Linked DNA regions of Mus musculus. The protein of the gene in region 1 purifies or fractionates together with the protein of each later gene. This does not show direct contact. Links are inferred from orthologs where the notes say so. Each region holds a gene or a part of one and is shown on either strand. Other genes may lie near its edges.

Region 1 (4,942 bases):
TGAATGTTGTTCATGGAGGTGTATGTCTGCAATGCCAACTCTTGGAAGGCTGAGGCAGGAGGATCTTGAGTCAGAGGCCTGCCAAACCAAAAGCAAAAGCAACAAGATATGGTACAGAGTAGGTACTTAGCAAAAGTTTTCTGAGAGAGAGAGAGGGAGAGAGAGAGAGAGAGAGAGAGAGAGAGAGAAAACAAACCATGCCAGCCTTTATATGCATAACCTTCAGTTTATCATCCATGGCCCCCTCCTTGTTTTATTCAAACAAACATACTTGAATTGCTCAGTTTGATCCTGAGTCTTTTCTCACTCTATGTCCTACTGAGGAGACAGAGTGAGGAAAGTAAAGTGACTTGACTTTAGCAGTCATACAGCTCATTTCCTAAGAAACAAAACCACTCCATCTATTGTCTACTCTAGATATTCTAGAGTATTCTGCTCTCGAGAAATACCGTGGGTTTTGCATACACACTCATCCATTATTTCAGTAATTGGCATGGATATGTTCACAGCTGCTCACCACTAAAGTTCTGATTTACTCTTTTTTTTTTATTCTTTTTCACTCATTCACCCATAACCATCCAACTATCAAGTTCTGTTGATACCACAAAATTTTCTCTGATATTTTTGGTGATTTTTTTTCCCCAATCAGTACATTCCTCCCCACCCCCAGGACAACTAAAAATTCTCTCACATGGACAACTACAATAGCCCTTTTATCTACTCCATTCTTCATAGCCAAAGGAATTCTTTTCAACCATATAATCTTATTGGTGAACTTCTGAAAGTCCTGAACATAAAGTCCTTGCATAAGTGGTCCCTGCCTCGGATGTGGCTCCTACTTTGCCTTCCCTTTTAAATGGTAGACTGTGTGCTTCATGCCTTCATGTGAATTGTCTTCCTTATACACCGCCACCTGAAGCCTGTACTGGGCTAATGCTACCTGTTCAGTTTAGCAGTTTCGGCGAAACCCTCTCCTTATTATTTGAAACGTTTTAACATGTGTAGGGAGTCCAAATTGTTGGCTGTGATTCGAAAGTGCCCATTAAACCTGCCCCAAGGAAGAACTTTTGGGTAAAAGTAAATTTGCAAAGAGATAAATGAACATTGACTTAGGATGGTAGAAAAGGTTAAGTTCAGCAACACGGCCAATGAAGATACTTTTAAGGATTCAATATCTGGACCAAAAAGAGATGGTGGCATGTTGCAAAACTTCTTTGGGGGGCGACAACTCTTCAATAGTGCCACGACCTAAGAATCTAGAAATCACATTGTAGAAACTATGGCCAGCTTTAAGTCACTTACTAGTGTTTCAACTTCTGTCCCTAAGCGCCAGTGAAAGTCAGGAAGCAGCTGCAGTCTTAAACCGCAGCCGTTGACCCCGGCGGCTGGAGACTCGACCTGTCCTGCGGGATCTGGGCGCTGAGCCTGCAGAGGCGCCTGGCAGCTCCCTCCGGGGCCCTCCGGGCGGCGCGGCGCGCGCCCCACACGCGCGCCCCCAAGCGCGTCCACGCGCGGCCCTGGCCGGGAGGCGCCGCTAAGGAAGCCGCGCCCGCCGAGCGCACTGCCAGCGGACCGCCGGATGACCCTGGTCTATACGCATGCCGTCCTGAAAAGTGCCTGTCTCACCAGTCGAGACGCTCTGCCTGCTATGCAAAAAATAAAAAAATAAACCTATCAAAAAGATGCATGGTGGAGAACTGATGGATCATGAACTCAAAAATGCGAAGAAGTGGTCGGGACATTTAGGGCAATCGCGCGAGGGCTGACTACCTATTCAGGCACCTTAGAGGACAGCCGCATCCGGGCTTTCCTGCTGCAGGCTGCCCTCAGCGCCAGGGGTCCTTCAGGTAGGAGGTCCTGGGTGACTTTGGACGTCCGCTCAGCCAGGTTGCAGAAGCGGCTTAGCGTGTGTCCTAATCTTCTCTCTGCGTGTAGGTAGGCCTGTGCCGCAAACATGCTCCGCCAGATCCTCGGGCAAGCCAAGAAGCATCCCAGCGTAAGTTCACGGTCTTTGCCAGGGTGGCCTCTTAGCTGTGGTTGCTCCTGCCCGTGTCCCCTGGGGACGTTCTCTTTTCTCTGTTCCTTGGGGTTACATTCTGTTGTTGGGATGACCTGATTGCTTGAAGCCTCTACCTGGGGTGGAGGTGAGGTTGCCTGAAGCAGAAGGTGGCAGAGATCAGGGAGAAAGGTAAACATTCTGAGTGTTGGAACACTGTGGCTCTCAGATTACTTGGTCCCAAGAGGGGTGAGTGGTACGTTGAGTGATTAGAATCCAAGAGAGGCCAAGTTTGTTATGCTGCTCTTTGCGGCTTTTAGAGTCACTGCATTGCACCACCAAACCTTCAGAAGTGCAAGGGATCGTCATCGTGTAATCCCCACTTTGCTTGGAAAACTTGACACTGGCAAAATTGATTTAAGTTTTCTTGACCTGTCACTTTCGTCCAGTATAGCTCGATAGAGGATGCTGTGTACCTAAAACTCCCACTGATGGGCCTTCATCTTTGCCTTAAGCCTGGTTTTCTAAATACTCAGCAAAATTAACTGCAGTCTGTTTTCAGAGTTCATTCCTAAAACTAGTGCTTTTAATAGGCATTTCTGTCCGCTAGTTATGCTCTTTATTTCACAGAGATTATGTTCACAGAACTTTTGGTTTTTCGAGACAGGGTTTCTCTGTATAGCCCTGGCTGTCCTGGAACTCATTCTGTGGACCAGGCTGGCCTCAAACTCAGAAATCTGCCTGCCTCTGCTTCCCAGTTGCTGGATCAAAGGTGTACGCCACATTGCCTGGCTCACAGAACTTTTAAGGGCCACTTTTCAGTAGTTCCCGAAGAGATTCCGCTCCCAGCCTACCAGGGAAGTATATCTCGTTACTTCCAGGGAAGCAATGAAATTTAATGGGAATGCTGTTCAAGACTTACAGAGGTGAATGTACTTGATAGGATTATTTGTTCATATAATTTAATCCATGTAAGGAAGTTGGACTCTTAAGCCAACACCATCCTGATGTCTTTTTACAGAGATCATGCCTTTAGAATACAATTGAAAGAAACACTGCTTCAATCCAAGTTCAACCGTTATTCCCATTGTAGGACAAATTAGCCAAATAGCAGATTTAGAGGTTGGCTTATATAGAAAGGAACCAGTGTGCCCTTATTTGGACAAGATCAAGGGATGTGATGATGGCTACTCTTCTTTGTCTATTTGTTTCTAGTTGATTCCTCTCTTCGTATTTATTGGAGCAGGGGGTACTGGAGCAGCACTGTATGTGATGCGCTTGGCACTGTTTAATCCAGATGTCAGGTGAGTGTAAATGCTTTAATATTTGGATGGCTAATCATCTGGCTGGGGGCCCCAGTCACGGGAGAAGTCACAGAGTAGAAACAACTACAGTTTGTAGCTTTGCAGTCAGCCCAGGGCTGCTGACTTTTACTTGGCTGGCTTCGTGAGCTCATCTCAATCTCGCCTCCCCAAGTTGTAGTTTCATATTGGTCAAGTAGAATTGCTAATACCAACTCTTACATTTTGAAGGTTGGATAGCACTTGAGGTTTTTTTTGTTGTTGTTGTTTGTTTGCTTGTTTATGTTATGGCTGGAGGCATCCTCACACTATACATCTGGCCGTCCTGGAACTCACTGTGTAAATCAGGTTGGCCTCTCTAGTGCCGGAATTAAAGGCATGCACCATCATGCCTGACAGCAGTTGCTTTTTATGAAATACGTAACCACGATTCCTGTTGTATGTGAGTGTAACCTACTTTTTCCTCAATAAACTGGTCTTTTTTTTTAGTTGGAAAATGATAAAAGCCAAATACAAACATTTCTGTTATAAAGACAGGGATGTAGACAGATATCCCAAAGAGTGGTGTTCTGTGATTTTACCAGTTACATGCTTGTTTACCTATAAACTCTACTTCTGTTTAGCTCTGTAATGAAAGTAATGCCTAATAAAAAGTGAGATTGACTTATTCAAAGTACTAGCTTCTAAGGAAGTATTTTTAAAATACTATTGTAAGTAGTGTTTCATTACTATAATAATTACAATATTTTATCCATTTTAGCTGGGACAGAAAGAACAACCCAGAGCCATGGAACAAACTGGGTCCCAATGAACAATATAAGGTAAGGTACAAAGTGGTTAAAAATTGCAGGAAAGCATATTGTAGCAGATGTGGCTATATGGTAGTTCTCTTGAAATGGGATATGCAAGTGAAATCCTGTTTTTATTATATTGAACGTGAAGAGCCCCTGCCCCGTTGAGTTAGCTGGGACTGAAGGTTTGAGTTGCCTAATCTTCAGGTGCTGCTGCTGTTGATGTGTGGGCAACTCTGGTCTCTTGGGTGCTTTGCTTGGCTGTTTCTTCTTGCTATGATTCAAGTATTTTTGGTGTGGATTAGTAGGAAGAGATGAAAGTTGAAATTAAATTTTGCCATGAGCCTCATAGTTAACCTTTAACATTTTCTCAGAGGAGTGCTCTGTGTAGCTATTTTTTTTTTGTTTGGTTTTTGTTTTGAAAGAATGTGTTCATTCGCCCAGAATATTGATTTCACAAATGAGACTTTATACGTAAATGCTTTTACATGAAGACCCTCACATTACCAAAATATTGCTATATTTGGATATAATTTCATGTCATACAGATTTATCTATTTAAAGTATCCCATATGTTATACTATCAGCTGTTTCTAAGCAGCCAGTAGTTGTTTACCTTAGCACTCAGGAAGAGACACAAAGTCTTCTTTGACTAACACCTGGGGGAAGTGTCTGTGGTAGAGATAGGTGCCCTTTAGTACTATTTATAGCAGCTTTTATGATTTACTCTTTATTTGCTTAAAACTTTCTGCTTACCCCAACTATAATTTGGCTTTTAAGATAAGTTGCTGCCTCTAAAGATACAACAGGAAATTTACTAGCCACTCTGAAACAGAATGTCTGATACGTATTTT
Region 2 (4,792 bases), about 110 Mb from region 1:
CACCCTCACCCCCTTCCCTGCCCGTTCTGAAATCACAAGTGTGGACCACACACTGCACCCGACCTTTTTACAGATTTTGTTTGTTTGTGGCACTAGATCAGACCCCGAGCCTCTTACACTTGATCTTAGCCAAAAGGCTGAGAAGCGATCGAGCCTCTTACAAGTTAGACAGGCATTCCATGGCTGAGCTATAGTTCTCGCCTAGGAAGGGGAGACGTAAACATGTTGTTCATACCCCTATATCCAGTATCTAGAACTGTTACAGAGCAATCAGGCTAGGTGATTCTTGGCCTCTTATCCAAAGAGTTCCAGGACAGCCAGGGCTATACAGAGAAACCCTGTCTCGAAAAACAAAAAAACAAACAAACAAACAAAAAAGAATCAATCTTTTTTACAAAGCTTTAGGTGGAGGGCTGTGACAGTGCTGCACAGTGGTTGAGTCCTTGCCTAGCTCTGTGAGGTCTATAGTTTTTCCTAGCATCTTCCCCTCTCCCCAAAGCTGTAGCTGATAGGCATGGCGGCACATGCTAGCTTTTGAGAGGCAGAAGGATTAGGAGTTCAAAGTCACTATCAGCCACCTAGTGACTTGAGTCGCTGATTTAAAAATCCAGGAAAAGGAGGCAGGGAGGGTGAGTTAGATCTGTCTCCACAACAGGTAGTAGAGCCAGGAAGTTGTTATTTTCTCAGAAAACAATGACAAACTTAGCAAGTTCTCGCTTACAGCAGCCCCTCTTTTCCTGGGGGTCCAGTAGGCTGAAACCCAGCCCAGACGCCTCTCACACACGCCGTATGTACTTCCATTGCAGCTGGATTGGCAAACTCTTTGGGCTGAGTCCATTTGAGCCCTGGACGACGAAGGACAAGGTGGAGCGGGTAAGTCTTGGCATAGCAAGCCTCTCACCAGGCAGAGCGCTGTGGAGGAGGAGAAGTCAGATCAGTTTGGCTGGCTTGGATAGTTGCGGGGCTTCTATGTGTGGTGAAGTCCTCCTGGCTGAGGCTAGCCCTTCTGTTCTGCTTTTGGCTCACACATACTCATACTGTTTCACCGTCTTAGTATAGTCTCCCTGTGAGGTCATCCTTGTCAGCATTCAAACATGCATAATAGCCCCCACGCCCTTTCCTTTCTGAAGGCCACACTCTCCTTCCCAGGTCCCTCTGGCCATTTTGCTATTTGTTGTGTTCCCTTACAACTTATTCTGGGTTCTGTTGTTGTTTTAAGACAGGGTCTCTAGGCCAGGCTGGCTACAAACCCACTCTATAGGCGAGGTGCCTTGGATTCCTAGCCTGTCTGCCTCTGCTTCTAAGTGCTGGGACTGCAGGTGTATGCTACCATGCCTGGTTTTCCCTTCAGAAGCTGATCCCAGGAGATTCTTGCGTCATTCTTTGTTTAATCCATTTCAATCTCATTGTATCCTCCTCTGTCCTGAAACTGTGCTTTCCAAGGCCACCCATGACCCCACGCTGCCACCTCTCAGACAGTTTTCTGATCTCACCTCGCTCCTGCTGTGAGCAGCATTTGTTGAGGGGCCACATTTCTTCCTTTTGAAATGGTGTCTTAGCACCTTTGCCTGGCCCAGGCTTTGTTCTCTGCCTTTCCCTTCTCACACTGAGCTGTGCTGGAGGCCCTGTTCCTGCTGCCCTCTCCTCCTGGTTGCTGTCTGTCCTGACGGGGTCACAGCCTCAGCCGTTCTCACTTCTGTTTATAAATTACATTCATCCCAGTTGCCAGCTGCTACTGCTGGAGGCCGTGCTGCCATCGCACCCATATTGAATTGTTTTATGTGGAACTACGCAGACATAGTAACGTTGTAAATGGAACTACAAGCTGATTTTTTTTTCTTTAGATCTTACCAGGTGCTTTCTGCTTTATTTTGAGATGGGGTCTCGCTGTGTTCACTGTGCAGCCCAGGCTGACTGGGAACGTATGCTGACCTTTACTCCGCCTCTCCCATGCAGGGACCAGAGACCTGTGCTGTTTCTTGCTGTTGCAAGCTTGTGTTCTGTCCTTGAACTCTCGCCTCAGTGACGGCCCTTTCTGTGCTGTCCGTGTTAAGACATGGAGTGATCCCCTGCAGTTTTGGTTCCTAAGCCATCATTGCCCCACCCTGCAGTGCTCAGGGTGCTCTGCGTCTGTCCCAGCACATTGCCAGGAGCCGTGTGCGATGGGAAGGACTTGATATATGGCTACCATGACTGCAGACATCAGATTTGAGCTATATGTAATTTTGGTTCACTGAAAGTGAGATTTGAATTATGCTTGACTAAATGGCTTCTGTGTTAGATGATCAAGGGACAGCAGCCCTCAGCAGATGCCAGGTCGGGTCACTCCTCATTCCTGCCTTCCTGTTCATCATTAGGAACATGCTTCTAGTAATATTGGAACTTTGCTACATACTAAAGGCAGAGCGCATAACTATCTCTCCTCTGCCTGCTGTTACCCAGGCAACAGTCCTCTTTCCTCTCTCAGTGAGCCTCTTGCTGCCAATCTTGTCTGCCTGCAGTATGCCGAGTCTAAAGCCCTGGCTCTTCCTTCTCAAGTCTTGTCTGACTCATTGATTATCTGCTTCCTGCATACTCAAATCTCACTGGGAAGATGCCAAGTAAGCACATGACAGCATCTCAGCCTGAGAACTGTAGATTTTCTTTCTGTTGGTGAGATGCAGCCAAACCATCCCCTAAGAGCCGAAGCATAGCAAAGAATTGCTACCAGTCCCAGGGAACAGCATCCCTCTGATAGACTGCCTTAAAAGCAGACACATCTCCATGGTGTCCTTTCCGTGGCCGTGAGCCCCGTTGTCGGACACTTGCTCTTACCTTGGCAACTGAGAAAGTATGAATATAATAGACAGACAGGCTCTGGGTTTGGCTTGCAGAATGCCCTAGAGCAGGCAGTAAACACACTGGGGTCCTCTCTGCGTTGCTCTTTGTGGAGGTCACAGGATGGGACCTGCTTGAGGTCCATGCACAGAGGAATCTGCTTTGGTGCTTTGTGATGCACGGGGCTGCCTTGTTCATCCTTCCTTAAACAAGACTGGTTTGGCTTCAGGCTTTGTGGTGAGCATAGTTGAGTATAATTGGAGCAAAAAAGGCTAATGGGTCTAGGCATGATGTTATAACTGCAGTCCCAACACTTGGGAGGCTGAGACAGAAGCAGTACTACAAGTTTGAGGTCAGCCTGGGCTACATAGTGGGTTCCTAGGAGTTCCAGTGTGAGACACTGTGTCAGAATCCCTAAACCAGACCAAAAAGTTAAAACTGAAATAGCTATAGCCCAGCGATCCAGCATAAGAAAATGGGGGTGCAGAGGTCTCCTACCTTAGCTCTTATCTGAATCTCTAGGTGGAGAGATAGCTCCTGCCACGTTCACTAGGCTCAGCTCTGCGCACATGTGCCTGTGGGGCTGCTCTTTCAGGGTCTCTGTCCTGTGGTTCTGGGGTATGGGAGACCTGCCTCAGGCCTTTGATGATGATTTCTTATTTGTTCTGCTTTTGTGAGTTCCAGAATCAAAGATTGTTGTGGGGTCTCTGACGACCCTTGCCTCAGTGATGAGCCTCAGGCCAGCTTGGGGGTCTGAGGGGTGGCACTCTGTCTCAGCATTCTCTGTGTCTCTTTGTCACAGATACATATCTCAGACGTGATGCCGACCGACCTGCCTGGCCTGGAAGATCTTGGTGTTCAGCCCACACCACTGGAGCTCAAGTCCATTGAGGTGCTACGGCGGCATCGTACCTACCGATGGCTGTCTTCTGAGATCGAGGAAACCAAGCCTGCCAAGACAGTCAACTATTAGTGTCACCCAGGTCACCTGTGTGCAGTAAAAGAGTCACTCTATTAAATATCCGAGGATTCGGTCTATTGCAAGTGTCTTTCTTGACTGATCAGAGAGGAACTCACAGCCATTCAGAACTGAGGCTTGTTTTCTATTAAATAACTATATATAATATCGACACACACAACTGTTCTCTGAAATGTTAGAGGGTTTGGAATTCTTATACCAAGGCCCTATCCTCAAAGTGGAAATATTGCTATGATCTCAGGCTGCATGGTTATCTAGAAGCATTTGGTATAAATGAGCACATAGACACCTACAGCTGATCTGAATTCACTCACACTTGAAGTGCTTTAGACTTGATTGTAAGGGTGGCCTGTTGTCATGTGGTGGAACCCATGGTGTGTCATCTCATGGTAGAGAGAGGAAGAGAGGAGAAGGGAGCAGGGAATGCAACCTCGTTTTTTCTTTTATGGAGTGCTGGGCATCGAACCCAGGGCCTTGTACATTTAAGGCAAGCTTCTTAAATATGAGCCACACCCTTCCCCTCAACCTCTTTTGTGACAACAGTGGTCACTCATGATGACAGAAGATGTGGTCACCTAAACCAAGCCAGGGCTTCTACCACACTGGCAGTGAGTATCCATGGGAACTTTGGAGCAAACCAGTAGCTGCTGTTTCTAAAAGGGAGGGAGGGAGGGAAGGAGCGAGGGAGGAAGAGGGAGAAGGAGGGAGGGAAAGAGAGGGAGGGAGGGAGGGACTCCAGGTTTTTGAGTAATAACAGACTAAGAAGTCGAATGACTTTCCGTACATAGCTGATCTGAATCTCACTGTAAAACCTGTGGTTTGTTTCAGGAAACCATGAAGGATGAATGGACAAAGCCTGTCAGGTTTACATCCTAGAAGGTTATGGAGTGCACGGGAGGTGTAGTGGAGCACAAAGTGTATTTGAGGAACCCTTCCCCGAGAAGGAAGAGGTCCAAGAGAGTGAGAGTTGTGGGTTAGGAAGGTGGGGAGCATTTA

Evidence for each region. The genes of interacting proteins can lie anywhere in the genome.
Region 2: the proteins of Ndufa4 (region 1) and Ndufa9 fractionate together in Homo sapiens (co-fractionation; 3 studies listed by BioGRID and IntAct, with this or other methods). This does not show direct contact. The link is inferred for Mus musculus from reciprocal best matches to the Homo sapiens genes COXFA4 and NDUFA9.

Annotation. Positions count from the first base shown.
Region 1 is NC_000072.6:11,904,378-11,909,319, reverse strand, and holds the start of Ndufa4 (cytochrome c oxidase subunit NDUFA4), read left to right. Parts: upstream 1-1,869; 5' UTR 1,870-1,954; coding exon 1,955-1,996; intron 1,997-3,211; coding exon 3,212-3,300; intron 3,301-4,057; coding exon 4,058-4,118; intron 4,119-4,942. UniProt on the Homo sapiens protein: Component of the cytochrome c oxidase, the last enzyme in the mitochondrial electron transport chain which drives oxidative phosphorylation.
Region 2 is NC_000072.6:126,821,017-126,825,808, reverse strand, and holds the end of Ndufa9 (NADH dehydrogenase [ubiquinone] 1 alpha subcomplex subunit 9, mitochondrial precursor), read left to right. Parts: intron 1-630; exon of another isoform or gene 631-806; coding exon 807-873; exon of another isoform or gene 874-912; intron 913-3,315; exon of another isoform or gene 3,316-3,619; coding exon 3,620-3,790; 3' UTR 3,791-3,946; downstream 3,947-4,792. UniProt on the Homo sapiens protein: Accessory subunit of the mitochondrial membrane respiratory chain NADH dehydrogenase (Complex I), that is believed not to be involved in catalysis. Required for proper complex I assembly.